Notamacropus eugenii: one gene and its partner. The protein of the gene in region 2 interacts with the protein of the main gene of each other region in a pairwise test. Links are inferred from orthologs where the notes say so. Each region holds a gene or a part of one and is shown on either strand. Other genes may lie near its edges. The genes, in order: CLOCK and BMAL2.

Region 1 (16,037 bases), on a different chromosome or scaffold from region 2:
CCCTTGCCACAGTTCCAGGTACATAAAAGAACACTTGTGGTCACTCAGAACAGAGTACAGGCCAGGAGAGTAGTAAATACACCTCTGCTTAGATCATACCACAGTGGAAGAACTGAAAACTTACAGGTCCCTAGAAGTAACCCTGAAAACAGCTACACAAAGCCCCTGAATTTTGGGACAGTGTACCTCCACCCTGGAAGGAGCTCCACTTTAGCAGAGTTAAAAATCTTAAAAAAAAAAAAAAACAGATGAGAAAAATGAACAAACAATAGAAAAAAAATCTGACCATACAAAAGTTACTAAAGACAAGGAAGATCAAAACACACACTCAGAAGAAGATAGCAAAGTCAACGCCTCCAAGAAAAATATGAATTGGTCTCAGGCCATGAAAAAGCTCAAAAGGAATTTCGAAAATCAAGTAAGAAAGGTAAAAGGAAAACTGGGAAGAGAAAGGAGAGTGATGCAAGAAAATCATAGATAAAGAGTCAACAGCTCGATGAAGGAGACACAAAAAAAATGCTGAAGAAAATAACACCTTAAAAAACAGAATAGGCCAAATGGTAAAAGAGGTACAAAAAGCCAATGAGGAGAAGAATGCCTTGAAAAGCCTAACTGGACAAATGGAAAAAGAGGCACAAAAATTCACTGAAGAAAAAAAATTCCTTAAAAAGTAGAATTGGTCAATGGGAAAGGAGGTACAAAAGTTCACTGAAGAAAGTAATTCCTTAAAAATCAGAATTGAGCAAAATAAGTAATTCCTTAAAAATCAGAATTGATTTTATGAGAAATCAAGAAACAATAAAACAGACTCAAAAGAATGAAAAAATAGAAGACAATGCAAAATATCGCACTGGAAAAACAACTGACCTGGAAAATAAATCAAAGAGAGATCATTTTAAAATTATTGTACTACCTGAAAGTCATGATCAAAAAAAGAACCTAGACATCATCTTTCAAGAAATGATCAAGGAAAACTGCCCTGGCATTCTAAAACCAGAGGGTAAAATAGAAACAGAAAGAATCCACCAATCACCTCCTGAAAGAAATCCCAAGATGAAAACTCCCAAGAATATTACAGCCAAATTCCATAACCCCCAAGTCAAGGAGAGAATATTGCAAGCAACCAGGAAGAAACAACTCAAGTATCATGAAGTCAGTCAGGCTAAGATCTAGATTTAGCAGCTTCTACATTAAAGGACTGGATTTGGAATATAATATTCCAGAGTAAAAAGGACTAGTTGCTAGGATTACAACCAAGAATCCCCTACCCTGCAACACTGAGTATGGTCCATCAGGGGTAAAAAATGAACATTCGATGAAATAGAGGACTTTGAAGCATTCTTAATGAAAAGACTAGAGTGAATAGAAAATATGACTGTCAAATATAAGATTCAAAAATCATAAAAAAGATAAAACAGGAAAGAGAAATCATAAGGGAATTAATAAGGTTAAACTGTTTATATTCCTACATGGGAAGATGATACTTGTAGCTCATAAAAAACTTTTTCATTATTAGGGCACTTACAAGGAGTATATACAGACAGAGGGCACAGGTATGAGTTGAATATGAAGAGATGATATCTAAAAAAATAAAGTTAAGGAGTGAGAAAGAGGAAAGCATTGGGAGAAAGGGAAAGGAAGAGGCATAATTATCTCACATAAAAGAGGCAAAAAAAAGCTTACAGTGGAGGGGAAGATGAGGAAGTGGGGAATTGGGGAGAGGAAGTGAACCTTACTCTCAACAGAATTGGCTCAAAGAGGGAATAACATATATACTCAATTGAATATAGAAATTTATCTTACTCTACATGAAAGTAGGAGGGAAACAGGGTAAGAAAAGGGGTGGGGAGGTGATAGAAGGGAGGACAGACTGGGGGCAGTGGAAGCCAGAAGCAAAACTCTTTTGAGGAGGGACCGAGTGAAAGGAGAGAGAATAAATGTGTGGGGGAGGGCCAAGGGAGATAGGATGGAGGGAAATATATTTAGAAATCGTAACTGAAAAAAATTTTTGAAGCAAGTTTCTCTGATAAAAGCCTCCTTTCTCAATATATAGAGAACTGAGTCAAATTTATAAAAATAAAAGCCATTCCCCAACTGACAAATGATCAAAGGACATGAAGTTTTCAGATGAAGTCATCAAAGCTATCTATAACCATATGGAGAAATGTCCTCAATCACTATTGATTGGAGAAATGCAAATTGAAATAATTCTGAGGTACCACTTTACACTTATCAGATTGGCTAATAGGACAAAAACAGAAAATGACAAATGATGGAGAGGATGTGAGAAAAATGAAAGAAAAGGAGTTGTGAACTGATTCAACCATTCTTTATAGCAATTTGGAACTACGCCCAAAGGACTATAAAACCATGCATACCTTTTGACCTAGCAATGTCACTACTAAGTTCTATATCTAAACAGACAAAAAACAAAAAGGAAAGGTACCTAGATGTACAAAAATATTTATAGCAGCATTTTTCTGGTAGCAAAGAATTGGAAACTGAGGGGATACCCACCAACTAGGGAATGGCTAAACAAATTGTGCTATGTGATTGTGATGGAATACTGCTATGCTATGTGAAATGATGAGTGGAATGCTCTCAGAAAAGCCTGGACTTAGATGAGCTGATGCAAAGTGAAATGTATTATGTATAAAGTAATCACAATACAGTAAGATGATCAGCTTAGCTGTTCTCTAAAATACAATGATCCAAGGTAACTCTGAAGGCCTTACGATGAAAAATGTTATCCATCCCCAGAGAAGAACTGATGGTGTCTGAATACAGACTGAAGCATACTTTTTTACTTTATTTTTCTTGAGGATTTTTGGTCTACGTTTTCTTTCACAACATGATTAATATGGAAATGTTTTACATTATTACACAACTATAACCTATATCGAACTGCTTGCCTTCTCAATGAGGGGGGTGGGGAGGAAAGAAGGGAAAGAATTTAATACTCAGTTTTAAAAATGAATGTTAAAAACTATTTTTGCATGTAACTGGGGAAAAATAAAATACTAAAGAAAGTTTTTTAAAGGGTGCAGAAACAGAGGACTTAGCCCACCGACTGTATAGACTGAGACACACTCAAGTCCAGACCAGAATCCCTGAAATCAAGGATAGTCCATACCAGTATGAGCATACCTAGGGCAATACAAACTGCTCACATACTATCCCGGCCTTTCAAATTTGAAGAGATAGCTGTTTCTAAGACTCATAGCTGCATTTTTGTATTTTGTATTTTACTTGTATTTTTATATTATATTTTATGATGTATTACAAAATCATTCACTTGTCCTTGGGTTGCAATGGAATATTAGCAATGGCAGGAAAAGTAAGGAGGTCACTGGTGGGGAGGATGGTACAGAATGACTAGTTGAACACTGCCTTCAGTGGTGTTCAAGACTGAACAGAACACCCACTGTAAAGCAAATTGGAAATAACTGCCCATCTTTCAGAACCAAAAAATGAAATTATATGTAAGAAGAGATCAAATACAAAATTCATGTCCTATAATACAAAGACATACAAAAATAATACAAAATTTACAAAGAAAAGTAAGACTAGTAAGTTACTTTTTAAAAAACCTTCAATAAATAATAACTTTCCCAGCAATTTTTCCCACTCCTTGGTAAAGTAATTTCAAAAGGATACACCCTGTCAGCCACTAGAGGGAGTCTGAAATTTAAAAAAATATGTAACCTCCTTTTAGCCCCCATATCCTTGCTTGCATTAATATTAGGACAGTGGTAATTTTAAAAGTATATAAAACAGGACATGTATTAACATTAAATTTTTTAAAAATTATTTTAGTATGAACTTCATCGTGAAATTGTCTTAAACAGCTAATATACTGATTTACAAGAGAAATCTCTTATTTCCTAATATGAATTTTATAGTACTTGCTGAGACCCTTAAATTCCATGACTTGAAATTCAGAATACCTAGACAAGCCAAATCCAATATGAAATTCACATATTAGTCTATTCATTTTTCCTAAGTGATTGACAGGAAAACTTTCACTACACAGTAGTGATTAATGAAGTACAAATGAAGCTAAACTCTGAAAATATGAGCATGACAACCACTGTCAAATCCAAAGAGCACCATGATATCTGTATCTAAACCAAAGAAGTGAACTATGAAAATGCAAACTATTCCATATTCCACTGAATTTTAAAATCTCTGTTCATGGTCAGAATTAAAGTCCACAAATCAGAGAAGTCCACTAGCTTTTGTTTTCTTGAATTAAAAAATAAGTTGTTACTTCAAAAAGGTCATTGAATATATTAGTGTGTAAAGAAATACAACTAATTTCACACAACTTTATTCATGCTTAACTTTAGAAACAATCTTTTTCAGTCAAGTGTTTTAACATTTGACTCAAGATTATTTTCTTCCCTAAGAAGTTTTAAAGCAAAATCAGATTGGAGGCATCTCAAAGAATTTATTTCAGTAAAAGGAATGCACTTTTTAAATGCTTCCTGGATTAGGATGTTTCCATGTTAATCTTTAAATATTTATAGCAAATACATTCAACAATGTAGTCTCTTTTCCTCCTATTCCTTTTCTACACCCTCACCCTGACCAAAACACCCTTACCCAGAAACTGAAATGCAATTGTGAATGGAACCGCATTACTCTGATTTTACGGATCATAAGAATGAACCAATAACGTGTAGCTGAACAAGTTTCCCTTTTTCTTCTCATCTTCAATTTTTGGGGGTACCTATTTAGACAGACAGTACATACGTCTATATGACATGCACATAGACAGGTGCATATGAACTCAATGATGTGCACATATGCAAACGTGTATACATACATAAACATGCACATATAAATGCACACACATATACGTTATCACACTACACAGTCTTGCTTGCAGGGACACACATATACACATGTATACAGTCCCACTTAGTCACACACCTATGTGCTCAAATATCAGCGTAATACATATACTAATATACATACACACACACACGCGCTGGCACACAACCTCCATATGCACAGATCTGCAGTGTACCTGTATGAGCACTGAGGCAGGCACAGAACACACACACACACAGAGGCCCGCCGGCCCGCCTGCAGGCACACACATACACATGCAATATATACACACAGACGTGCGCACGCATGCACACACACACTCTCTCTCCCTCTCTCTCTCTCTCTCTCTCTCTCCCTCTCCCTCTCTCTCCCTCTCTCTCTCTCTCTCTCTCTCTCTCTCTCCCTCTCCCTCTCTCTCCCTCTCTCTCATGCCTCAAAGTTTTCCCAGCGCCGATCAATCCCAACTGCAGGAAACAACACACCACGGACATCCCTCCCCCGCCAGGTCCCGGCCTCTTTCCTCGCCCCCGACTCCTGGCCGAAATGGGAAGTCCCGCACTGTGCCCACCACCCCCGGGAGGCGACGCGCGGCCCGACCCCAGGGGCAAGAGCGGCGGTCAGAAGCCGCCCTCGGCGAGAAAGGCCAAGGGGCAGCCCGCCCTCCCCACCTCCCGCTCGGCTCCGCCGTCCGAGCGTTCCCCGAGGAGTAGCACACGCGAGGGGGAGTCCGAGCTCGGAACTCCCGCCTGGGGCGGCCCGGCCTCGCGCGGCCCGGCGCGGCTCTCCGCGGGCCGGATGCGGCGGGGGCGGCCGCGCTGCAGCTCCCCGCTCCGCTCCGCTCCCCGCCGCGCCGAGCACAACGCTCCGGAGCCCGGCGGGCACGGGCAGCGGGCGGGGAGGATGCTCCCCGGGCCGCGCGAGCGCCGGCGACAGGGAGGGGGTGACCGAGAGCCCAGGGCGACCCGGACGCCCAATCGGGCTGCGCTCCAAACGTGCCTGGGTAGTGACAGAAATAAAGTGGGTCACAAGGCCTAGCGGGTCCCTGAGGAAACACCCTCGGTCCCCCGGCTCTCCGCCCCGCCCCCAGCCTCCGCCACCCCCCCCCCCGACCGCCAGGTAGCCCCAACTCGCCCCAGGGGGGAGGGGCGTCCCCTCCTCGGGCGGGCCCCGGAGCCAACTCCCGGAGAGAGACTCTCCCGCGGGGCTGTCAAACTTTGAGAAGCGCCCCCCGCCCTCCCCAGCGCCCTCGGTCCTCACCGTGCGAACGGCCGACGGCTCCGGCGGCTTCTTCCCTCTCCCCTCTCCCCCCTCCCCCCACCCCGCCGTGTGGCTGCGGCAGCTGCTGCCTCTCCCAAGGAGCCCCTGCTACACCACAAGCCTCCACCGCCAGCAGCAGCAGCACCCGAGGCCTGCGAGAAGTACCCGCAGTCACCGCCGCCGCGGTTGCTGCTGCTGCTGCTGCTGCTGCTGCTGCTGCTGCCGCCGCTGCGGCCACCCCACTCTTCTTTCTCCTTCCCCTCCTCTTTTCTTCCCCTCCCCTCATCCGCCGGCACGGCTAGCACGCATGCGCCGCCAAGTCAAGCCTACCGGCAACGGACAGGCCCCGGGCCCAGCCGCTCTGGCTAAGCTTGCCCGCAGCGCGCACGCGTAGGGAGCAGACCCTTTTTTTTTTAATCGGCAAGCCGCAAATCAAATCTGTGATTGAGCGTCTGACCGTGCGCATGCGCCGACGGCCGTCCTCGCCTCGTTCTCTCAGCCATGCCTCCGAGGCTCCCGAGCCTTCTGGTGCGCATGCGGATTCTTGGATGAGGGCGCTTGGGGCGGGTGGGGTGAGGGATTCCTGTTTGCCCAGCTTTCGCGTCGGCCCTGCGCCTGCGCGGGCTCGAAGGTTTCCCTCCTCCTCTCGCTTCTGGCCCCCAGCCTCTATCCCCGCCTCCCAGCCTGCTCTAGCTCTGTCCCCGTTCTCCCAGACTGGCCCGGGCACAGAGGAAGCTGGGGCTTTCCCGGAGGTCTCGCTCCTGCCTTCCTTCCCAGCATTTGGCAGGAACGAATCCCGTTACTGGAAAGCCGGGAGGTGGGGTTGGCGTGGCTTTTCCAAGGACAGGGCCTGCCTCTTCAGAGAGCCTTGAACCACACGCAGGCGGAGAAGGAAAACTCGGCTGCTCCTGCCCCCCTCCCCGGCCAGCCCGGCAGTCCCCTGCCCGCGCTCTGCTGCTCGAGGCCGCAGGCGCTGCGGGCCGGGGGGAAGGCGTCCAGAGGAGGCCGAGCTGGAGCCGTACTTTGTCCCGGTGGTCTGCGGGTCAAAGACAGACCTTCCCCACCCACCCCACCCCCAGCCGGCCCCAGGCTCGGTGCCCGGAGAGGGTGAGGAGGGACCGACCCTGGGCAGTAACTGTCCACATCGCTGCCTCAAAGCGCGCACCTAAATGACCCCGTCGGTGCTTAAGGAATACTTGGTCCGTCTTGCAAAGCAGCTTGGATTTGGGGGAGCCAGGGGTGTTAGACCCGTTCAATTCCTAGGCAGTTTCGTGGAATTTAAATCAGTGTATACATACTGTTTTTAAAAGTCACATTCTGGATATAACAAGGACAGTCCCTGCAGTGAGCTTTATTTAAAACTGACTTTCTCTGTACCCACGGGAAGACACCTAGGTATAGGATTGTCCTACTGACTCAGACCTATGGTTCACACCACCTAGGATTGTGGCACTGATGGGCGAGGGGAGGTGGTTAGAGGAGATGACCATCTAATGTTTTCCCTCTCCTTCCGTCTGGCACTCACTGGAGACCTGACTGCCTTCTGAGGACACTGCTTCCCAGAACGTCTTCTCCGACCCTAGGGGCAATTCGGGTTATACGCACGGTAACCTCTCCTCCTTTGAGGGTCATTCAGTCCATAGTTATATCGTCCAATCAAAACTCTGGGAGCTTTTATCTACTGACCTGCAAGACATCTCTGCTTTCCTCTGAGTCCATTAACACATTCCCCTCCCCAACTTCTGTCCTCATATTAGAAGACATGTGTGTGTGTGCGTGTGTGCGCATTTATATCTATACACACATTCCCTCAAAGACCCTGACCTCCCACTTCCTCAATTTATCCATTTCCCATGACCTGCTTCTCAATCCCACCTCAGCTACAGAAGGATGGTCATGCCCTTGGTCTTGCCATGACTCACGTCTACTTTGATGTTCATGAACTCTGAAATTTATCTGATGATGACCTATTGTTATTTCACTTTTCTCTTTGCCTGACATCCCTCAGCTCCGTTCTTCATCTTCACCATGACTTCAATCACTCCTCTCCTCAGGTGTTTCCCCAGCTAACACCTGTAAACTGGTTACGGTCTTTCCTTCCCGGTCTTGAACCCTGAATGAACCGTTTCAGCTTTACACTATCACCTTACCTTGAGTTCCTTGCTCCTTATCCTACAGCTGATCTTGCCCTGTTACCAGAGGCTGCTCTACCAGCCCTAACACTTTCACTCTCCGTTCAGGTTTGCTTTTACTAAGTAAGGCACTTTCAAGTCTTGGAACAGATAACAGAAGGTAGTTTACTTTGCCCTAATTTAGCAAAGATGGGACCTTGATGCAATGCTATTTAGCTTCTCTGGTTATCCCCCACCTCCCCTTGTCTCCATATGGAAAAGTATTTAGTTATGAGGTCGGGACTGCTGTGGTTTTCAGACTTCCCTGACTGCTTATGTGACTGAAACTTCTTATGCCTTCAGGTGACCTGGAAGCTGGTCTGGGGAAGGGGAAGTTAATCATGTCTTGGGGACTGATTTGTCTCCTTTTACTGAAAAGATAACCCCTTAGGTTTAGGGAAGGAGGAGCCTGGACCTCTCCACATTATTGGGGAGAAGCTAAATCAGGGAAAGGCTGATTAAAGTTAGTCTTATGGACACCTGCCAAGTCCAGCATTAGATTATTCCCACTTATTCATCATCAATGATTATATTCACATGTTTTTCAACAAAGCTGGACACGTCAATTACAAATTTATGTTACATAATCTCAGTTGGGTTCTCATTTCAGGAAGGCAATCCTTCCAGAGTAACTCCTCGCCCCCAATCTATTCACTCTCTGATTTGCCACAAAAGCTTTTTTACACACCTTTTTATCCCTCCTACTTCTCATGGCTCTCCCTCCCCCTACCTTCTCAGCTAAGAACCCTGTCTCATATTTCACTGAAAAAACTGATATTCTCTGAGAGTTCCCTCTTCTTCCTTCATCCTTATTTCACATTACTCAGATGCTTTCTAAGGCATTTTCTCATTTGATCTTCATAACAACCCTGTGAGGTAGGTTCTGTTATTATTACCATTTTACAGATGGGGAAACTGAGACAGAGAAGTTAAATGACTAGCCTAGGGTCACACACTGAGTATAAGTTCAAAGAAGGATTTGAACACTGGTCTCCCTCAAGAGAGGTCCAGCACTCAATCTAGTATGTCACCTAGCTGCTGCTTCTGTTCCTAGTTCTGTCCTCTGAAGTCAAACAGAGCAAATTTAATCTCCCTTCCATGGGACAGCCTTTCAAGTACTTGACAGTTATCATGCCCTCCCCTCACTTTCTACCTTCCCAAGCCTACTTCCCTCAACTGATTACCTCTGAGGGCATTTTTCTTTCTTTGTATTCCCAGCACAGTATTTTGCACAGTCAATGTTTAATAGATTATATGTTCAATGTGAAAAAAATTAAAGAAATTCATATTAAAACAACTCTGATATTTCACCTCCTAACTTCAAACTGGCAAAGATAAGACAGAAACAACGAATGTTGAAGGAGTGGTGAGGGGAAGAGAGGAACACTAATATGTAATAATGTATGTGTAAATAATTATTATAATTATATAATTATTGTAAATTATAAATTATTATAAATAATAATAATGGTGGAGCTGTTGCCAGTTAATCTATCCATTTGGAAGACAAATTTGAACTATGCAAGAAAAACCATTAAACTGTTAATAATGTTTAATCCAGCAATCCTACTACTAGATATATACCCCCAAAAAGAGAAAGGAAAAAGTCCAATCAAATACTGATTGCAGCATTTTTTACATTAGCAAAAAAAAGTATAGAAAATGAGTACTCAACTCTCAGGGAACAGTTAAACAAACTGTGGTATGTGAATATTATTGAATAGTATTATGGAATATAATGTATGGAATGATGAATAGGAAGAATTCAGAAAACTATGGAGAGGTTAATATGAAGTGATACAGAGCAAAGAAATTAGAAGAGGGAAGAAAATATATATGATGAATACCTGCAACACTGGAAGGTGTTGATGAAACGTAACAACCAATTTTAATCCCAGAGAACAGACGATGAAACCCATTTTACTTTTCTGTGTATTGGGGATGGGGTGGGGTGAGATGGAGGGACTACAGTTGCAGAAGTTACATTCAATGTCAGAAGAAATCATTTTTCATGAAGTTGGTTATTCAGAGTATTCAAGGAAGGCTGCGCATACCAGAAAATGACTGTGGTAGCAAAACAAAAGGATTAATACATTTTTTCATTGTTCACTTAAATGGTGTCCCTTATTCATAGTTTCCTTACTTGCAACTTAATCCACATGCACTGAACCTTTCTTCCTCATCACCTGAATCTCTAGTTGTTCCACATGTCCATCACTTCACCTAATCCATTAGACCTTTTCTTCCTCCACTTAACTAGTTCTGCCCAGGCAGAATTCAGTGGTCAGTCACTTTAGTGCTAACCTCCAATAATACCCTCTTCTTTTTTCTTTCCTCCCTTTATGTTTCCCAGTTCCCCACTCTTAGAACTAATCCCTAGTCAACTTCCATTCTTCAGTTCTGTCCCCAGACTGGATAGCGTTGCTGGGGAAAATCACAGACCCGTGCAGACTGGGCCAATGACAAATCCAGATTGTCTAGCTTCACTTTAACATTCACCGTGCTTGACAATCCTCTTGATTCCTTTTCTCTTACTCCACTGGATTCAAACTGTTTTTACCCTTCCTAAAACTGCCCTATCTTTTTTCCTGATCCTCAAACTTAATCAATTAATTTATTAGGATTCTACTTGCCAGATACTTTCAGGAAATCACCTCACTTGCAAATGTATTGAGCTATGGGAAGTCATTTGGTGTAAATTATGCCCCTCCCCCCATTTAACTCCTTATCTAATTCAAAGCTTCTCTTTTTCTCAAAACATTCTCCTACTTTCCTTCTAGTTTTCAATGAAAAGATATCCGTTCTGCTTTTCCAAAGCCAACCTCCTTCAGGTTACGTAGTGAGAAATTAATCTAGAAAGGTGTGGGGGGCATCTCAAAGTCCGTGAGGCTTTTTACCAGTCACATATACAGAATAAAAACAGGAAGGTGGGTAAAGAGGAAGACAATGACCTTGCCTTATTAGTTTAGCAAAAATATATTCATGTTCAATTGAATGGCAAGACCCAAGGGATTTGGGCCAAGAAAATGTCTGGTGCTTCAGATTCAGACAGTCCCAAGAATTGTGAAGATAGCCCCTGCAATTATTAGAAGGGTGTTCAGGTTAGCAATCAGGATTTGACTACAGACAAAGGGGACTTTATAACCCTGGTTGGAGGCTTGGGATGGAGATACTGATCCTGAGAGCAGGCAGATGTGGTTTCAAAGTGCGTACAAGATCTGATTAGCTGACTGACTTCCAAAAGAGCTTAAGCCCTGGATACAAAAACTCTGGAAACAGATAGAAATCTCTTCTTATCAAGAAGCACCATACCCCGATCAAGTCACTATACTACAGCTTCTCTGGCTGTAATACAAAATTACAACCCTCTCCTTTCTACTCAGAAGTTGTTAGGCATTACTTGCACTATCAAATAGGCTACTCAGCAGCGGTAGACTTTCAAACACTGCAGCCTTGTAGCGTTACATTTTCAATATGTATAAAATATCAAATGCATGGAAGATACCTTATTGGATGACAATCTTTAAGTTGGGCTTGTGCATAGAGCACTGGGCTTAGAATCAGGAAGACATCTTCCTGAATTCAAATCTGGACTCAGACACTTACTAGCTATGTGATCCTGGGCACGCCACTTAACCCATTTGTCTCAGTTTCCTCATCAATAAAATGACATAGAGAAGGAAATGGCAAACTATACTAGTGTCTTTGCCAAGAAAACTCCAAATAGGGTTTAAAAAGAGTTGGACACGACTGAACGATAACAATGCTTTATTGACTCAATGGTTTTTTTGTGATGTTTTATAGTCAGGAAACAGTGAGTACAATGGGATCTTTTATTCTTTAAATCTCTCAGTCACTGCTTTGAATACTGTAGAATATCATCTGAGGAAGCCTAACTGATCCCTTATAACAATACTATTATCAAGAATGTCCTTGGTGCACATGCATATTATTTTCAGAAAAATTTCATTGAGATGAAAAAGTAGGCATATGAGGCAGTAGTTATTGGTTTCTTCTTAGTAACCTCTTTTGGTTAATGGTATTGTCTGGGATTTTTTTCTATGCCTTTGGTATCAATCAGTTAATAAGTATTTATTAAGTACCTACTATGGATTAGGCATTGTACTATTTGCTGGAAAATGAAGACAAGAATAAAATAGTCCCTGCCCTCAAGAAACATTCTATCAGGGGATAAAACTATTACTCAATCAACAAGCATTTATTAAACATCTGATGCTCCAGGCACTGCTAAGGATAAAATTAAATAAATGGAGCAATCCAGAGTCACAAGGAGGTTACACTTCATCAGGAGAGACAAAGAGGAATTATTAATATAAGTACATATGGAAGAGACAGAGAGAGAGAGAGAGAGAGAGAGAGAGAGAGAGAGAGAGAGAGAGAGAGAGAGAGAGAGAAAACAAATAACAAAGTAGGTAAATACAAGGTAATTTAAGAGAAAAGGCCCTCAAAAAAAAGACTCAAGAAAGACTTAAATAAAGGTGTTGCTTGAGCTATATCTAGAGGGAAAAGAGGAAGTAGAAAGAAGTGGAAGTTAGGAGGAAGTACATTCCAGGCATGGGGGACTACCCATGCAAAGGCATGAAACAGGGAATGTCATGTGGAGTTCTTATTTTTCATTTAGCAGCTTCTGAATTTCCCCATCATTTTCATCAATGTTTGTAAGCATTGTGACCCAGATGAGTAAATGCAGTGCTGTACATCAAAACTTTGAAAACTGCCTACTCATTTTCTGCTCCACTGTTTCCAGCCTTGTGTTGGTTCAACTTTCCCTCCAAGTTAGCTATAAACTATTCCTACCAGAGAAGTACTCTAATCTATTGACATTGTCTTCTGGTACTCATCTTGTCTTGGGGCCACTGCTTTTGTTGAATGGGAATATTTAACTTGGGGAGAGGATAAAGCTATGATCAGTCCAGCACTCTTTGCCACACATTGCCTTTGCCACTCTCACATCCAGTCTGTTTCTTCTCCTTACAATGACATAGTCTATTAATCCAATGTTTGCTGCAAGGTTGCATCCATGTAGTTTTGTTACATTGAAGTAAATGGAAGAGTGTTGGTCATGAGAGAACACCATATCTTCAGTACTAAGTGACCCAAGGACTTCCTGTCATGTCTGATAGTCTGTAACTATTCTAGCATTCAAAGAACTCAGAATTACAAGCTTGTCCTTTTTTGGCACATTGATGATAAGGGTCTCCAGGAATTCATAAAATTTTTCTTTGGCTTCATCAGGGTTCCTCATAGGTACTAATGATAGTGGTGTGTCACTTCCCTGCAAGTGGCAATCTCATTGCCATGAGCCTGTTGTTCACTCCTTTTGGTAGCCATACAAACTTGCTGACTAGATTAGTTCTTATTGCAAAACCTCTGCCAACTTCACAGAACTCCCCTTCACTGTGGCCATTCCAGAAACACATATATCTAACTCTGACTTCGGTAGGTTGGCCTTCATTTGCCAGGCTTGTTTCACTCAGGGCTGCTATTTGGACTTGATACTTGCTTAGTTCTCTCAACAAGAGCTATACATCTGGGTGAGGAGCCAAGATGGTGGAGTAGAAAGACACACATATGCTAGCTCCGAACCCACAGCCCATAAAATATCTGTAAAGAAGAACTCCCAACAAATTCTGGAGCAGCAGAAGCCACAGAACAAGAGAGTGGACGAGATTTCTGTTCCAGAGAGACCTGAAAACCTGACTCAAAAGGTCTGTCATACACTGGACCTGGAGTGGAGCCCAGCCCTACCTTGGCACGCAGCCCTGAGGGGAGCAGATTCGAGCAGACTTCAGGGACAGAATCTCCAGCAGGAAGGCAGGTCCCTCCACCCACAGGTGACAAGGGTCAGTGAGAGGGTCTCTTTGGCTGGTCAAGAGGGGAGTGGGGTGTCCCCATAACTCAGGCCCACTCGGGAGGCAGCAGCGGGGGTGACAGTAGACCAGGGCTCCCCAAGCAGGCAGGAGCTTGGATCCATTGTTGAAGGTCTCTGCATAAACCCCCTGAGAGAACTGAGCCCCGAGTGGCAGAGCTGCCCCCATCTGAGCATCTGAACTTAATCTCACACTGAATAGCAGCCCCACCCCTGCCCAGAGCCCTGAGGCTGGGAAGCAGCATTTGAATCTCAGACCCCAAGCATTGGCTGGGCAGATCTGGAGGCATGATGGGGGTGGAAAGAAAACTCAGAAGTCAAGTCACTGGCTGGGAAAATGCCCAGAAAAGGGAAAAAAAATAAGACCATAGAAGGTTACTTTCTTAGTGAACAGATATTTCCTCCCATCCTTTCTGATGAGGAAGAACAATGCTTACCATCAGGGAAAGACATAGAAATTAAGGCTTCTGTATCCCACACATCCAAAATAAATATACCATGGGCTCAGGCCATGGAAGAGCTCAAAAAGGATTCTGAAAATCAAGTTAGAGAGGTGGAGGAAAAACTGGGAAGAGAAATGAGAGAGATGAAAGAAAAGTATGAGAAGCAGGTCAACACCTTGTTAAAGGAAACCCAAAAAAATGCTGAAGAAAATAACACCTGGAAAAATAGGCTAACTTAATTGGCAAAAGAGGTTCAAAAAGCCAATGAGGAGAAGAATGCTTTCAAAAGCAGAATTAGCCAAATGGAAAAGGAGGTTCAAAAGCTCATTGAAGAAAATAGTTCTTTCAAAATTAGAATGGAACAGATGGAGGCTAATGACTTTATGAGAAACCAAGAAATCACAAAACAAAACCAAAAGATGAAAAAATGGAAGATAATGTGAAATATCTCATTGGAAAAACAACTAACCAGGAAAATAGATCCAGGAGAGACAATTTAAAAATTATGGGACTACCTGAAAGCCATGATAAGAAAAAGAGCCCAGACATCATCTTTCATGAAATTATCAAGGAAAACTGCCCTGAGATTCTAGAATCAGAGGGCAAAATAAGTATTCAAGGAATCCACAGATCACTGCCTGAAAGAGATCCTAAAAGAGAAACTCCTAGGAACATTGTGGCCAAATTCCAGAGTTCCCTGGAGAAAATATTGCAAGCAGCTAGAAAGAAACAATTCAAGTATTGTGGAAATACAATCAGGATAACACAAGATCTAGCAGCTTCTACATTAAGGAATCAAAGGGCGTGGAATAGGATATTCCAGAAGTCAAAGGAACTAAGACTAAAACCAAGAGTCACCTACCCAGCAAAACTGAGTATAATACTTCAGGGGAAAAAATGGTCTTTCAACAAAATTGGGGACTTTCAAACATTCTTGATGAAAAGACCAGAACTGAAAAGAAAATTTGACTTTCAAACACAAGAATGAAGAGAAGCATGAAAAGGTAAACAGCAAAGAGAAGTCATAAGGAACTTACTAAAGTTGAACTGTTTACATTCCTACATGGAAAGAAAATATTTGTAACTCTTGAAACTTTTCAGTATCTGGGTAGTTGGTGGGATTACACACACACACACACACACACACACACACACACACACACACACACACACATACATAGAGACAGAGTGCACAGAGTGAATTGAAGAGGATGGGATCGTATCTTAAAAAAATGAAATTAAGTGGTGAGAGAGAAATATATTGGGAGGAGAAAGGGAGAAATGGAATGGGGCAAATTATCTCTCATAAAAGAGGCAAGCAAAAGACTTTTTAGTGGAGGGAAAAAGAAGGGAGGTGAGAGAAAAACATGAAGTTTACTCTCATCACATTCCACTAAAGGAAGGAATAAAATGCACACTCATTTTGGTATGAAAACCTAT
Region 2 (16,506 bases):
AGAAGCACTTCAAGGATAGGTTTAGGGAGAGAGATGTACCACCAAGATGGCTCCAGAATGATGAATATTTTACCTTAAATGATAGTGGAAGATAGTCTGCCAAGTCAGAGAGGGGTTGTGATTTGTGTTAGTGGAGGAAGTACTCATATCAATGAAAACATGGATCTCTGAAGTACTAAAGTATGGTTATAAACACAGGTAGCAAAATGCAAACAGAAATAATCCACTAATCAACTTCTGAAAGAAACCCCAAAAGGGAAAATACCAGGAATATCATAGCCCAAATCCAAAACTCCCATGTTAAACAAACAAACAAATCTGTAAGTATCCTGGAGTGGGGGCAGGAACAGTTCCAGTACCAAGAAAATACAGTTAGGATCATACAAGACCTAACATGTTCTACTAATGATAAGAGGAGACCTTGGAATACAATATCCTAAAAGACAAAAAAGATAAGTTTACAATAAAAAATAACTTATACTGCAAATCTAATTATAATCTTACAGGGAAGAAAATGTATCTTTAATAGAATAGAAGACTTTAAGTCTTTTCTAATGAAAGATCAGAGTTGAGCAGAAGCTTTGGAAATAAGCACAAAAATCAAGAGAAATCTAGAAAGGTAAAATTAATTGAACAATATGAAGGAGTTCTATGATGAAGTAGTGCCAACATTCTAAAAGAGGGAGAAAAAACAGTATCCTTTCAGAATCTTGATATCTTCAAATGTTATCAAGTGATATATGTAAGAAAAACAAGAACCTGAGCATAGATTGATTTTCTTCTGAGGACTTTAAAAGATGAAAGAGAAGTATAAGCAAGAAGGAACACATGAATGTGTAGAACAGAGGAAGAAGGGGCTAAAACTTGCTATTTCTTATAATTAAAGTGCATGAGAAAAATATATAAACACTGGAGGACAGGATGGGGACAGAAAGCATCAGATGAACCTCATTCTTATCTGAAATGGACGAAGTAGGGTAGACCACATGCAAAAATCATTTGGTGTAGAAATATGTCGAATTCAACAACTGAGGTAAGGTGAAGGATAATGTGAGGGCAAGTAGAAAAACAAACTTCTGATGCTGGAGTAGGATTTTCTTGCCTTCTGTGAGAGAGAAGAAATGAAAAGAACTAGAATCTAATGGAGAATGGCTGATCAAACTTTAGTGTACGAATGCTATGAAATATTGCACTGTAAGAGTGACAAAAGAGACAATTTCACAGAATTTTTTGTAGTGTGAAGTGATGCAGAGTGAAGTGAGAATAATCAGGACTACAGTTTATACAAGGTCAATGAGAGTAAAGAAAATCAACTTTAGGAGTTTAAATTCTTATCAATGCAATGGCTAATCATATATCCAGAGGACTTCTGATGAAACATTGCTAACAACCTCCGGGCTGAGAGGTAATGGACTCAAGGTATGAAAAAAAGGTAACCATTTTTGGACACAGCCTCTATATAGACTTGTTCAGTTGTGTCCGATTCTTTGTGACTCCATGGATTGACTGTACTGTCCATGGGGTTTCCTTGGCAAAAATACTGGAGTGGCTTGCCACTTCCTTTTCCAGTGGATAAAAGCAAACAGAGGTTAAGGGACTTGCCCAGGGGTCACACAGCTAGTAAATGTCTGAGGCTGGACTCATATCATCCTGACCCCACGCCTAGCACTCTATCCCTTGTACTACCCGCCTGCCTCCTATATAGATCAGTTTTGCTTGTTTTGTACAAGATTGCTTTTTCTCTCAGTTTTTAATGGGAGAGGGGTAAGATGGGGTTAGCAACAGTGATACCAAAAAAAAAAAAAAAAAAAAGAAGGTGGAGGAATGATGGAATTTTTTTTTTCTAATGTTCGGCCTAAGTACAGAAGGAAGTTCAAAAAGAAGGACAAATAAATGAGTCAGTTTTGAAATTAATGGGTGAAATTGATGTACTTTTTTTTTTAAAGCAAGTGATATAAAATGGAGATGAATAGGTGTATGTCCAACCCCTCTTCTTGTATTCTGCTGTGTATGTGAAAATGCTCTGCATTTTGTTAAGTTCAGAATTTTAAAAAATGTTTAAAATGCATAATTAGAAAATACATGGTCAGACTTGACCTTCATAATGATCCTATGAGGGAGGTAAATGTGGTTATCCCCATTTTGCAGATAACGTTTATATAATGCTTATTATGCACCAAGCATTGTGCTAAGAACTTTACAATCATATCATTTGATACTAAAAACAATGCTGGGAGGCAGGTGCTATTATTATCTCTGTCTTATAGATGGGGAAACTGAGCTCCAAAGAGATGAAGTAACTTGGCCCTTCGAATTCACTAGTAATGTTATCAGGAGCAAGTCTTAATTTCTTTGTGACTTAGTTTCCATATCTGTAAAATAAGCAGGGACTGTTGCTTTCTTTTCTTTATAATCATAGCTCCTAGAACAGGGCTTTGCACATGATAGATACTTAATATATGTCTGTCAGATTGGTTGCTGACGATGACTAATGCCCTAGATCTTCTTTGGCCTTTAACCATCAACAATAAAAAGTAGAGCTCAATCAAGTAAATAGGTCACATTTTTTTAAACTAAAAGTAATCATTTTTTTTATAACTCCATCCATAAATCCTTTAACAATGTTTGCAGGGAAGAGCATTTTAATCAAGTTTCACAGCACAGACAAATATTAGCTGCATTCAGTATGACATGTTTGAGTTTCTCATTTTGTTCCACAGTTTAAATGATGGTAAGGGGTGTGTGTGTGTGTGTGTGTGTGTGTGTGTGTGTGTGTGTGTGTGTGTGTGTGTGTGTGTGTGTGTGTGTGTGTGTGTGTGTGTGTGTGTGTGTTTCTGTGAAAGGTAATCAGTAGTGTGTTGGTGTGCCTAGAAAACACATTGGACTGAGTCAGGAGCCTGAGTACTGGTCCTAGCTCTGCAATTTAGGGACCCAATTTCCTCATCTGCAAAATGAAAGACTGAGACAAAATTTTTTCAAAGGTCCCTTTTTGTTCTAAGATTTTGCAGTTCTGTGAGAGTGTTCTACTTTGACTTGGGGAATGTGCACCAAGGCAGAACCATTGAGTATGGATGCTGACTATGAATACAAGTTTATATAGAGTTAATTAAAATGGCTTCTGATTGCTGAGTCATGAAAAAAATGAATTTCAATCATAGTAATTACAAATCCACAATGCAAAATGGTATTATTCCTCAATTTCAAGGTGAAACTAAGAGGGGATTAGCAGAAAAACAGGATGAATAGGAGCAAGGCAGCTCTGTCTCCACCTCTCCTACCATCAGGAGATCTCAGTCTACTCTGCTCTCCTGGATGCTGTCTTGTCCTCGATTCCAGGAATTCTGAAGTCATCCACAAAGAAGACACTCACCCTCACTTGGCAGAGTGTACAGTCTTTCTGTTTTTCTTAAGTCTGTCAAATAATATTCTCAAATGAACTGTCTACCTGTGGTTTTCCCCCAGGGAATTTTTGTCGGCTAGAAAGATTCCTTACCTAACCCTCTACAGTCCAAGCACAGAAAGTAATTTCAAGCCTCCTGCTTTTTTTTTTTTAGACTTATACCAATAAGATCTTAATATCAGACTATTTAGATATAATGATAAATTTGTAGTTTGGTAGATGAGATAAATGGAAATAGATTCCTGGAATAGGAACCTGGTAATAAAGAGCTATAGATCAGAACTGCCTTAAAACATTTTTGTTTCACCCAAAATAATGAAATAGATAAGTAGAGAGAAAGTGTTAGGTTGAGGAAGACCATTAAGATAATAGGCAAAGTTCTAGTTTATTTTGAGTGTACTAGTCATGCAATGTAGGATGGGATTAGAACTGTGATTTCATTAATAAGAACTCCTGAGTGAGGAAGACCTCTCTCCCAGTGCAAGTCAGTATTTTCTTCAAAATGTATAGTTTTACACTGGTCTCGAGTCAGGAGGACTATCAGATCTGCCTTCAGACACTTACTAGTTATGTGGCCCTGGGCAAGTCATTTAATCCTAATTGCCTCCAAATTTAAAAAAAAAAAAAGGAAGGAAAGAAACCAAGAAGAAAAAGAAATGTATAGTTTTAAAGAGTTGTATAGAACACTGAGAGGCTAAGTGATTCATCCAGGGTCACCCATCTAGTGTACTGGGAATGGGACTTGAATCCAGCCAAGTTTTCTTAGATTCAAGGCTGGATTTTTGCTTCTCACGTAATATAAGAATGTATTAAATTATGTGTAGGGATCATATCTTACTTAAACCTTAGGTCTTAACTTCTCTCTACCATATTTGTTGCTGTTCAGTCCTGTTCAAGTCTTTGTGATCCCATTGGGGTTTTCTTGGCAAAGACAATCAAGTGTTTTGCCACTGTTTTCTCCAGCTCATTTTACAGATGAGGAAACTGAGGTAAACGGGGTTAAATGACTTGCCCAGAGTCACACAGTAAGTGTCTGAGGACAAATTTAAACTCAGAAACATGAATCTTCCTGATTCGAGGCCCAGCACTCTATCCACTGTGCCATATATCTTCATCAACCAAGAAAAAGCAAAACCAGAAAACCTCAGATGTCCAGTTCAGTTCTGATCCTTGTTTAAAGTTGTAAGTGTAATCTGCCAAGCCCAGAGGATCTGTTGGAATCTGCAACAGTCCCACAGAGAACAAACCAATTCTGAGTCATGCCTAACGTGAAAGACTCCAGGAAGACTGAGGAGTTACAGGGCTACTTTGGATGGCACAGAAGTTCACCACTAGATTTCCACTTAGCCCAAGCCTGTCTAAAAGGGGACTCAAGCCTATAGGCTGGCCTCAGAACTGACCTGATATCTCAGGCCCCTCCTAAATATGGATGATGAAGGGTTGAGTTGGACTTGCTCGGTCTTCTCAGAAATATAATGCCTACTGAAAACCTGTCTCCTTCTCAAGGCATACTCCAGGGTCTAGATCAGTTTAACACAAGGCTCTAGGATTCAAAGAAAAAGAAAGGGGGGAGGGGGGAGGTGTTAGGAAATGAGATGCAATCTGCCTCACTTCATTCAGTCTCTCAGAAGGTCAAACTGTCATTATTGCAGTCACCAAACTCACTGTTTATGTATGTTTATATAAAGCTAAGTCAGAAGGATCATTTTAAGCATGTCCTAACTTCACATTTAGTTCTCAACTAAACAACAATGTTTATTTATAATGAAAATAACTTAGCTAAAGGTACCTTGTCACTAAGGTTCAGTCAGGGCCATACGATTTAATCTAGAATTTCTGCTCACCTAGATTAGCATACATTGAAAGAATTCAAATGCCTCCTGGATTTGGACAAAACTGGTTACATATTTTCACAAGTCTAGACAAATATTTTATCAGGAGACCAGTCTTAACTAAAAAATAAAAAGGAGCTATAAGTTAAGTAATTGTTTATCCCAGTCTTCTGCAAAATACATGATGAGGTACATTATGATGGTGGGAATTGGAAACACTACAAGACTCCAAAGTACCACTTTGAGAATACTAAGTTTTCTCATCTCACAGTCTATTTTGGCAAATAATTGAATATATTTTTACTACATTAGGTAAAGCTTATAGAAATCTAATCACCTCTGCCCAAATATTTTTTCTGCAAACTCTCTTAAAATTCTTTTTATTTCTCTGTCACTTATCTTAAGTGGTAGATACAATGATGGTTCCATTATTTTCAATAACAGACCCAAGAGACAGACTACTATAAATAATTATAATAAATGAAAGAAAACTTTGTATAACAGAAAGTTGGTTTTTTCTGAACAACAATAAAAATCCTGTAAGCTGATGTATCAGCATTGTACCATGAGAGGCACTGTTAGAATGAGAGGTCCTGGGTTCAAATTCTGCTTGTAACTTCCAATCATTCAACCTCTCTGGGCTTCAGTTTCCTCAAATATAAATCGGGAGAAGGGATTGAATAGGTAGCGGCTGCTGCTCTAAATCTATGACCTCCCCCTTTATTACAAGGAGTGTGGGGGTGTGGGGGTGTGGGCGCGTGGGTGTGGGTGTGGATGGATGGGTGCGTTTCTTGGGGCAGGAAGAGTAGAGGGAAAGAAATAGATTTTCGTTTCTTTTAAGGAGCCTGTGAGCTACAGCTCTCCTGCCTGTTTTTCAGTCAAAGTTGGTTAGTTTCTGGAGCCAGAAAGAGAAGAGAATGCTGCCTGTTCTTCCTGTGTTCTGGAATGACAACAACAACAACAAAATTCTTTTTATGAATGATGATGGCAGGGGGCCAGAAGAAAGCAAGTAGACCATTCAAAATGACAGACAGAAAGAGGGTAGTAGGAAGGAGATCTGTGACTACAGATTTGCTCTGGAATAACGGAACGGATTTGCTTCTAGGGCTCTCCCCTCAGGGCAAGACATACACTTAAATCTGCCCAAGCGGTGCCAACACAACTTCCATCGTGCCTCCCCGGCAAGCATCCTGCCACCTGAGCCCATAGGTGTGCACATAACAAAATCAGAGCCTGCTTTCCCTTTCTGAAGGAGCTAAGTGCTCTCTCGTCAGTCGCTCACCCTCATCCGCAGCAGGTATCCCAAGGAGCGGCGTGAACAGGCAGGCTCCTTCCATTCCCATCCAGGGCAGCGGCAGCAGCGGCAGCGGGTCCCCCAGCTCGGGGTCGATGGAGGGGGCTAAGCTCCCAGACTCGCCCACCCCCCTTCCCAAGCTCGCCCCAAGCCCGCCAGGCTGTGTCACTTAGGGACTCACCTGGCGCCGCAGCCTCGGCGGGCTGGCTCCCTGCAGACTCAGTGTCTTCTCCCCCAGCCATAGCAGGGGCCGGCCGGCTGGTTCTCGAGCCCTCGGGCTGGCTGCATGGAGGGGGGCCCCAGTCCGTCCAGCACACGCCCGACGAGGCTGATCCGGCAGCGCGGCGGCTGCGGGCACACCTGCGGGGCTGCGCCAGGGATGCTCAGCGGCCACCTCTGCAGCGAGCGGCCCCTCTCCCTGCACACCAGCCGCTGGGGCGGGCAAAGCTTCAGACTCGCCTGCCGAACCTGCCGGGCTACTGAGCATGCCCGGTCGGGCTGCCCTGGCACCCGTTCAAGGCAAGCAGTGGATGCCGATTCCGCTAACCGGGTTTTCGGGGTAACTGGGAGAAATGCGAAGGAGGAGCAGAGGCTGGGCTGGGGGTAGAGGTGCCTGCGGCAGGCTCAAAGTCTTTGAAAAGGAGATCCCAGAGTCCAGGAGCTCAGGAGATAGATGGATGACAAAAGATACAGACAGATCACAGATGACTTGCGGACGAGGAAAAAGGGGGATTCCCACTGGCATCCCTGATCTCAGTATTAATGCTGCCCAAAGAGCTCCCTGAGAGGCATAGGATTTACAAACAGAAGGGACCCTAACGATCATCTAAGTCCAACCCCCGCATGTTTACGGATCGGGAAACTGAGGCCCAGAAGGGTGGAGTGACTTACCCAAAGTCTCACAGTTACTAAACAGCAGAGATGAGCCTGAAACCCAGGTCTTTTAACCCTGGGTTCCAATGTTCTTTCTACTGTGCCCTGCTCCCTCCATACAGCTGAAATTTATATCAATGTATGAGTGTTAAAATATGAAATTTTTCAAAGTGAATGCCCATCCATTGGGGAATGGCTCAACCCGTCGTCGCTCAAGATTGTAATGAAATATTACTGCTATGTGAGAAGTAATGAATATGATGAAAACAGAGGAGCACGGAAAGACTTTATACAAACCATAGTCAGGAAGTCCTGGGTTCAAATCCAGCTGCAGACGTTTACTATCTCTGTAACCCGGGGCAAGACATTTATCCTCTCTTGGTCTCAGTTTCCTTACCTATAAAGGGAATGGCCTTGGACTTGGCCACTAATGAATCTAAGTCTATGGTCCTATGATATGAAATGAAGTAAGCAGAACTGAGGAAACCATAGACACAATGACCACAACAATAGAAATGGAAAGAAATATAAGAAACAAATATTAAAAATTGAATGCTAAGAATCTGAGGCCCTTTCCCCCACACTCTTACTTTACAGAAGTGGGAGGTTATGGGTGTGAAATACTGGATAGAATGTCAGCCTTTTTTCAAAATGTGTGTTAATTTTACCGAACTTTTTTCTGCTTTTATTATTATTTTTTTAAAGTAAAGGATGGCTCTCTGAGAAGGGCGCAGGGATATATTGGGAAGGGTAGGTGAACCAAAATCAAAAGATCAAGAAAAAATTATTTTAAAATTAAAAAAAGAAAATGACATTTCTTTTTTAGTAGTTCAACCCCTCCAATACTTTGGTCTTATTTTTAAGTTTAAAAAATGTTTATTTTTACATCACCTTGATCTTCTTTCCTCCTACTCAGACAGTCCTTCCCTATGGCAAACGATAAGAAAAAAAGGGGAGGAGGGAAGCTGTTTGGCAAAATTAAACAACACATCAGTTGGTTCAGAGAATATATTCAATATTCCACAACCATACTACTCCACCTTAGCTTAAAAAGGTCAAGGTCTCCCACTGCCTACAGGGCCATCTCCAGTCTTGTTACTGGACTCAGATGGCTCTGGAGGAGAAAGTGGGGCTGGTGACTTTGCACAACCCTGCCTCACTTAAATCCTATTCACTTGTCATAGCATCACCTTCTGGATACTATGATTGTCTTCAAGAAGAATGGACAAACAACAACTCCCCCACTGCAGAAAAGAGAGAGAGAGGTTCAGAGACTGACATCACTTACTGTCTTAACTCATATGGAATCTGACATCCAAAAGTAAAGCCACAGAAGTATAATGTAAAGGGTTGAATTTTCAGAACTCCATAAAGAAGAGATAAAGGAATGAAAGAATGCTTTAGTTTGAAGATAACAAAGAATTTCAAGGGTGACACTAAGGGGACAGCAGGGACCAGGGTAGTGAAGTTGGAGTGTAAAAAGTTGAGTTTAACTTCCAGCTTACCTATTTTATATAATAATGATCTATAATTTATATTAAAATTAAGGTTACATGTTCTATAAACATACATTCTATATAATTATACAAATATATAATTACTTATTAATTGTGTGACCTTGGACTTAAACTTTTTGGGCTTAAGCCTATACCATGTATATACAGCATGATAATTGTGATACTTGTGATAATAAAAAAAATCTTTTGGGAAACTTTTCTGAATACTGATAACAGGCTGCCTCTGTTTTGGACCCATGCTCATTCCCTTTTATTTTCTGGAAAAAATCCATTTCATGTGTCTTGCTGGCCAATCCCCAGTTTCCCTTTGTATATGACTTTAAAGATGGGAAATTTATCAAACCACCTTGAGTGAAAACTTATGTTCTCCCACCCCTCAAAAATAAAGTTCCTGGACATCCTTCATTATCAAGGAGAAGAGTGATGAGAGAGTCATAGATCCTGGATATGCTACATCCTCTTCCTCCTGCTAGAGTGTGAAAACTTAAAGTGCTGGTGACCTCTCAAAGTATAGCCTTTTTTTGTTCTTGCCCTTTCAGTTTTTACCTCTCCTCCTGTGCCCCTTCTCTCCTCAGCAATATGGTTTCTTATTTTAGGTTTTGAGTTTTCCCTTGTTTGAGTTGCAACATACTGTAATAATAGCCCATGACTGCCCTTTCTTTTGTGAAGCCTGCCTTGTCTCCAAAACTGCCATTATGGACTATAATTTAATTGAATGGGTAATATATGGTTAATGTCTGCCCTGTATCACAATGTCATAAATCATAGATCATAGATTTTTAGAATTGGAAAGGAACACAGAAGCTATTGAGTCCAACTTCCTTATATTACAGAAAAAGAAACTGAGGCAGAGAGAGTTTAAGTGACTTGTCCAAGGTGTGATTATGAAAATCAAGTGATATAATATATGTGAAAATTGTTGGGAGGAGGAAAAAAGTGCTACAGAGATTTAAGGTATTTGTTTCTTCATAGTAAAACTGCAGAAAGGTTTGGTCCAAATATAAGGAAAATCAGATGATTATAAGAGATGGAGACAGAAAGGACCTGAGAGATCATCTAATCCAACCCTCTCATTTTAGAGATGAAAATACTGAGGCTCTGATCCAAGGTTGTCCACGTAGTGAGTAGAAGAGCCAAGATTCGTACCCAGGTCTTCTGATTGCAAATCAGTGTTCTTTAGACTGTACTATAAGGGTTTCCCTTGGCTTTCTCAAAGGTAAAATACTGGAGAGCAGTATGGGGTAAATGAACACTGCTCCTAGAGTCAGCTGATCCTTGGTTAAAATGGCAACTTGGATATTTGCTAGCTATGTGATCACAGGAAAGTCACAACCTCTGTAAGCCCATCTCTTTAAAATGTAGATAATCATGCTGTGTACAACTGTGTCGAACTTAAACTGCTACAAAAAGTGGGTTATTATTCCTGGTGTGACTGATAGGAATACAAGGTGTCCCAAAAGTCTTACTGCAGTTTAAAGTTTTAATCATTTAAATTGCTTTACTGAATTCAGATTCTAGGGACACACTGTATGTTATTGAACAAGCCAATCAATACTACCTTTTCTTCCCCTTGGAAAATCTTTAGTGACAGGACTGACACCTATCTCCTGGAATGTTTTATACAAAGCAGGGCATTGGGCAATGTCACCTTTAGAAATCACTTACAGCATTAAGATCCTACAATGAATTTTCTAGAGATACAATCCAAGTTTAGAATATGCTATTTCATAGTCCTTAGGTTTCCTTGGTTACAGCTTTCTTAGTTGAGGTAGTGGCAAATGAAACAACCCAGAAAAAAATTCCAAAGCCTTGTACACAAACCAGATGACATTTGATAATTATGCTTCTGTGAATCTAACCTTAATCATGGGGTTCTAAATTACCCATTATGATTGGAGAACCTACTCATTAGTCCTGAGTGTTACTTAAAAATAAGGCCATGCCAAGGGTATGACAGCTGAGGGTTCTCTCTTCCATTCTTAGAATCAAAGACCTCCACCAAAATCTAGTAAGAAGGGGATATGGGTGACAAAATGGGATGCCAGAGTTTAAGCTTTGGCAGGTTCTATCAATCTGGAAATGTTTTGAATAAGGTGCCAATGACAGACTGGATGTTTTGCAGATGAACACTGGCCTAGTCAGAGAAGGTCAGAAGGGATAGATATTGTAAGGATGGTCACCAAGTGATAAACTTTTTCAGCCACAATAACTCAAGGATATCAACTACTGAGGCAAAGGGAAGCTGTGGGTACAAGAAGTATCCACATAGATCAATCAATCAATCAACAAACATCTATTAAGTACTTACTATATGCCAGGAACTATACTAAGCCTTAGGCATACCAAGTAAATCAAAACACTTTGCAGACAGGGCCACCAAGAGTCCTTAACTTCACAGTGTCCCTCTTGCCCTCCACCCTTCTGCCAATCCCATCTCATTCTTTGACATTGCTAATAAGGAGCCCCTGGACCAAGCTATTTACAAGCTCTTTGCAGGAAAGGTTCCAAAGAGTAGAAAACTTCCATGAAGAGAACTTTACCCTGAAGTACCCTGTCCATGGCAAGTGCTGGGCCCCACACAAATGGCTCCTTGTTTTTCATTCCTACAGCTAACACTGGCTGGATGGTAAGCATGTGGTCTTTGGCTAGGTGAAAGCCATGGAGTGCTTCACATTCCACGATGTCAAGACCAGATGGCAGATCACCATTTCTGACTGTGGACAACTCTCATAAGCTTTTCAGTTTAGTTTTTTTGTCTTACCCACTAAACTATTCCTTTGTAACTGGGGAGATCACCCCTGGATGTTCTTATACCCTATAATCTTTGTGCTTCACTTAACTGCATTTCCCTTTAGATTCCCCTTTTCTTTCCACAAGTCTGGTTAGACTGGAGCTAAATTTATGATCATGAAATTTAAAATGAACAAACCCTTCCCCACAAAGTCAAAAGCCTGCCCTCAAGAAGCTCCCATTCAAATGGGGAAGAAAACACATAAGTAACTATGTACATATAAGATATAGACAACATAAATAGGGGAGGATGATACTAGAGGGAAGGCATTAGCAGTGGGAGTGGGGTGACTAGCAAAGGTCTCTTGTAAAATGGGATTTGACCTGAGTCTTAAAGAAAGCCATGAGGCAGAGGTGAGATGGGAGAGCATTCTAGGCACAAAAGAGTCAATGAAAAGACACAGAAATGAAATCATGGATTCTTAAAATAGGAATTACAAATGTTGTTGCCCTTAGAGGTCATTCATTCCATTCTCCTGCATTTTAAAAATGAGAAAATTGAGGTTGAGAGAGTTAACTTGTCCAAGGACAGGGGAGATCATGCTACTTCCCAGCTCAGAAAACTTTAACGGTGACTTGGCATTGTGAAGTCTTTACATTCTGGTGCCAACCTATATTTCCATGCTGACTGAACATTACTTCCCTTCATGTATTTCTACATTCTAGCCAAACTGGCATATTTGCTGTGGCCAATCTGATGTTCCATCTCTGGTCACTGTTAGGCAGTCAGCAGGCATTTATTAAGTACTTATTGCATAAGGCATTGTACTAACTACTGGGAATGCAACAAAAGTAAAAAAAAAAAAACACAACAAAAACCCCCCCAAAACACCTGGGTATTTGCCCTAAAGGAGTTTACAATATAATGGAAGAAATAGTATCTAAATAACTGTGTATTGTACATGGGGGGTAATATGGGAAGTGGGAAGGGAGTTGAATCTTAAAGAAGCCAGGGAATTCAGAAGGCAGAGGAGAGGAAGGAAAATATTCTAGGCATAGAGATAACAAATGAAAAGGCCCAGAGACAGAAAAATGGAATGTTATGGTATAGTGAGGTGTCATTTCCCTGACCTTTGAAACTCACAAGGTTGGTGTCTCCAATCCCTTCATCTAAAACAAAAAAAAGAAACATGATGAGGTAGGAGGCATTAACTGGCCACATAAAGACATCAGTAGGGAGTTCTCAAAGCTTCTTCCCCTACAGCATTGTCTCTTCCTGGACACTGTCAACAAAGTTTCATTTAGGGATTTACCATGAGTGCAGGAGAAGAGAAAATGACTGAGGCTTTGGTTGCAAATTCTTTTTTAATGTCTCCAAAGCCCATCAAAAAGCCATCTTTTCACCAGTGGTTCATAAAAACAATCCAGTTACAAAATGTCTACACATGTTCCACAATCCAAGCCATTTCTATTATACATCATGATGACTCTCCCAGAAACAAGCTCTCCAGTTTCTTCCACTTAGGGAATTTGAATCTGACAAATATGCAGACATACATATTTGCGCATACCCAATCTCCTGTTACACCTGGTTAAGATGGGGTGATTTTAACCCCACACACATATTCGTGTAACAATTTGTTGAACCATTTCCCAGTCTAGGGATACTTGCTTAGGCAGCAAGGTGGTACAATAGATAGAGTGCTAGAGTTGGAGTTAGGAAAACTTGAATTCAAAGGCTACCTCAGCCTTAGGTGTGTGAAGCAGAGTAAGTCACTTAACATGTCTACACCTCAGTTTCCTCATCTGTAAAATAAGAATAATAGTGCCTGCCACACAGGATCATTGTGAGGATCAAATGATGCACAATACATGTAAAGTGCTTTGCAAACCTAAAAGTGGTATATAATGGTAGCTATTAACATTTACAAGTTCTGCTCTGAAAATTTTGGCATAATGCATATCTACCTATAGATATATCTAGATATAGCTATAGCTATACACATACATATATGTTGATATATGTATATTCATATATATGCATATAATATAAATACATGTATATACTCGTTATATACACATAAATAATATAAACATATGTATGTATAAACACATACGTGTACGTGCACACATACATATACATATGAAGTGCCTGTCTGTTGAGGTCAGGGAACCACAATGTTGAAGTCTGGAGTGCTTGAGACCCCAAATGACACCCTGCCCAAATGAATTTGACTGAAGACTTCTTTTAGCCAAAGAAAACAAAGTTTATTAAAGATTTGCCCTACAGGGTTGACTCTTAAGAAGCCTAACCATTGTGACACTAGTATTGACAAGCAGGCCAGGTAGAATCTGAGGGCCTTCTTGGAGGCAAGATGGAACTTGTGTGCAGAAAAACTGTGGGAGGGATCTAGGCGTGGCTTGGTAGTCTGGGATGATGGGAGGAGGGGTTTAGGGAGGGTCTTGAGGAGGAGTCCAAGGAGGATCTTTTTGGGACCGGGGACTGGATCAAGGGTGGGAAACAGCTGGAGGCAATTGGGATATAGCAGACAATGAAGGGCTGGGGTGAGAAGCAGGTGAGGCAACCCTATGGTAACAGATAATGGAGGGCCAGGCTAGGTTAAGGCTAACAGATTTGGGTATGAAAAACCAGATTAAGTGGAAAGATTCTTGGAGAGTTCAAGGAGGTTCCCAGAGTCTGTACCTCATCATGTTGACTGACTGACAAGTATAATACTTATATCTACTACACCAGGCAAAATCACCCAGCTAATAAGTTATAGGACTCCAGCCAAATTCATCCAATCCAATACTCTTTACATTAAATCAAACTAGCTTCGTAATTCTGATTTAAGTGCTATCTTGGACTTCTGAAGTAAGAAGCTGTAGGACCAAGAATATTCTTACCACAGACTTCAAAATAGCTAGATTATATCCTATCTGTAGTTGTTTTCAACCATTGTGTCTATGAGTGGGAAGGGTAGGGGTGGGAGCAGGGTAACCCTTTATACCACAGCCCAGGCTTTGTATGACTCTGAACTCTGCTCATTACCATTCACTCCAGCTCCCACCAGCTTCAATTTCTGCTGGCAGAGTTCTGAAACAGTATGTCACCATAGAGCCAAGCAGATACAATGCTTTAAAGTAGAACATGGCTTCCACCAAAGCTTTTATTCAAGTGGTTGCTCTAGGGCAAATGTACACAACTAGAATTCACATTGGCTGACTTAGCAACTTGGTCCAAATAAAGTTGCATTGTTGCCATCATTCTGGTCCTTACACCTTTGGAATATCCCCAAACTGGAATCTTGATTATTTTAAAGGTGACCCTCTACAACAGAGTGAAAATAGCAGGACTCAAAGAGAAGGAAATAATCATTAAGTATCTAAGATGTGCCAGGCCCTGTGCTAAGTGCTTTATAGATATTTTCTCATTTGATCCTCACAACAACCCTGTGAGACAAGTGCTATTACAATTCCCATTTTACATTTGAGGAAACTGAGGCAAATAGTGTCTAAGTTATTTACAGTCACCCAATTGGTGTCTCAAGAGTTAAAATACATATTTGTATACTGCTTCATGTTTTGCAAGGGGATTTTATAACTATTATCTTTTTCAATTCTTAAAACAATCCTATGAGATCCTTTGGGCAGGTATTCTCCTCATTTCATAGGAGGGAAAAACTGAGTCTCCAAGAGATTAAGTAGCTTCTGAAGGTCTCAATGATGGGAAAGGAAAAACTAGAATTCAGTCTTCTTGACTCCTAGTCTAACATTGTCTCCAATAACATAACTGCAGTGATCCACAATCAACAAACAAGGACCATATTTCTTTAAAAGGATGACTCACTCACATAAAGAGCCTGAAAGTCACATTGCAGTAGCCCAGATTCTAAAACAACAGGGAGGCAGTATGTGGAGTGGATGGAGAGAAGCAGGCAGTATTTAACAGTTGTGCACCACTACATTGGTAAGGTTTCAGTGGTACTCATTCTTTGTGTTCTAAAATGCTGGCTCTTTTTTCTTTTCAGAATAACTAATTTTTTCCTTCATGCAATAATGTGAAACTAGCAGAGCCAAAGAATATCTTAACAGATGGTTTAGGAACATGATCTCTTATTTTAAACAAGTGGTTGGCTCTTATTTTTCCCCTCTTAGACATAAGGGTTGATCTTCTGTTGGTATTCAGATGTGTGATTTCATTGGTAGAGACTTTCTGGTGAGTAAACTCTCTCCACCAATGCATCTCTGCAACTGTTCTGTCTCTTACATTCTTAGAGAGTTGCCTTGGGCACTGGGACTTTAAGTGATTTCCTTTGGGTGACATAGTATGCCACAGATGGGACTTGAATTCAGGTAGTCCTTACACTGAGGATAGAGAGCTCTCTAAGCATTATGCCCTGTGACTTCTCTGTGTATAAAAGGATTGATTTACTAGTAAAAATTAAATGAGAAATACCTCTTAGAAGTCACACTTCATTCCAACACAAGTCAGCAGGCCTCCTCCTACAAGAGTATCCTCTGGAAAGTATGTGCTCATCTTGCTAGGGGTAGTTGGTATATGATTTTTTTTGGTCCTGATAGCTATCATACTTACCAGGCAAATAACAAGTGATATGTCCAAATTGAAGAAAAATACATAACGATAATGATTTCTCCAAGCCAGGGAGAAATATCAATAGATTTAGATGTAGCTTGCTCATTCTATCAACCTATCATCTAGGTATCTTATGTATCTATCTACCTACCTATCTATCTATCCATCTATCTCCTTCTAGATTTTATAAAGCAAATATTTAGAAAATTAATTTTTACAAGGCACTGTGCTGGGCACTGGGAACGTAATGACAAAAACAAGTA

What was found.
Region 1: the proteins of BMAL2 (region 2) and CLOCK interact in binary tests that used the Homo sapiens proteins (3 or more experiments, as listed by UniProt). The link is inferred for Notamacropus eugenii from reciprocal best matches to the Homo sapiens genes BMAL2 and CLOCK.

The regions. Positions count from the first base shown.
Region 1 is NC_092877.1:106,941,423-106,957,459, forward strand, and holds the start of CLOCK (circadian locomoter output cycles protein kaput), read right to left. Parts: upstream 6,315-16,037; 5' UTR 6,094-6,314; intron 1-6,093. UniProt on the Homo sapiens protein: Transcriptional activator which forms a core component of the circadian clock.
Region 2 is NC_092874.1:178,208,475-178,224,980, forward strand, and holds the start of BMAL2 (basic helix-loop-helix ARNT-like protein 2), read right to left. Parts: upstream 6,984-16,506; 5' UTR 6,708-6,983; intron 1-6,707. UniProt on the Homo sapiens protein: Transcriptional activator which forms a core component of the circadian clock.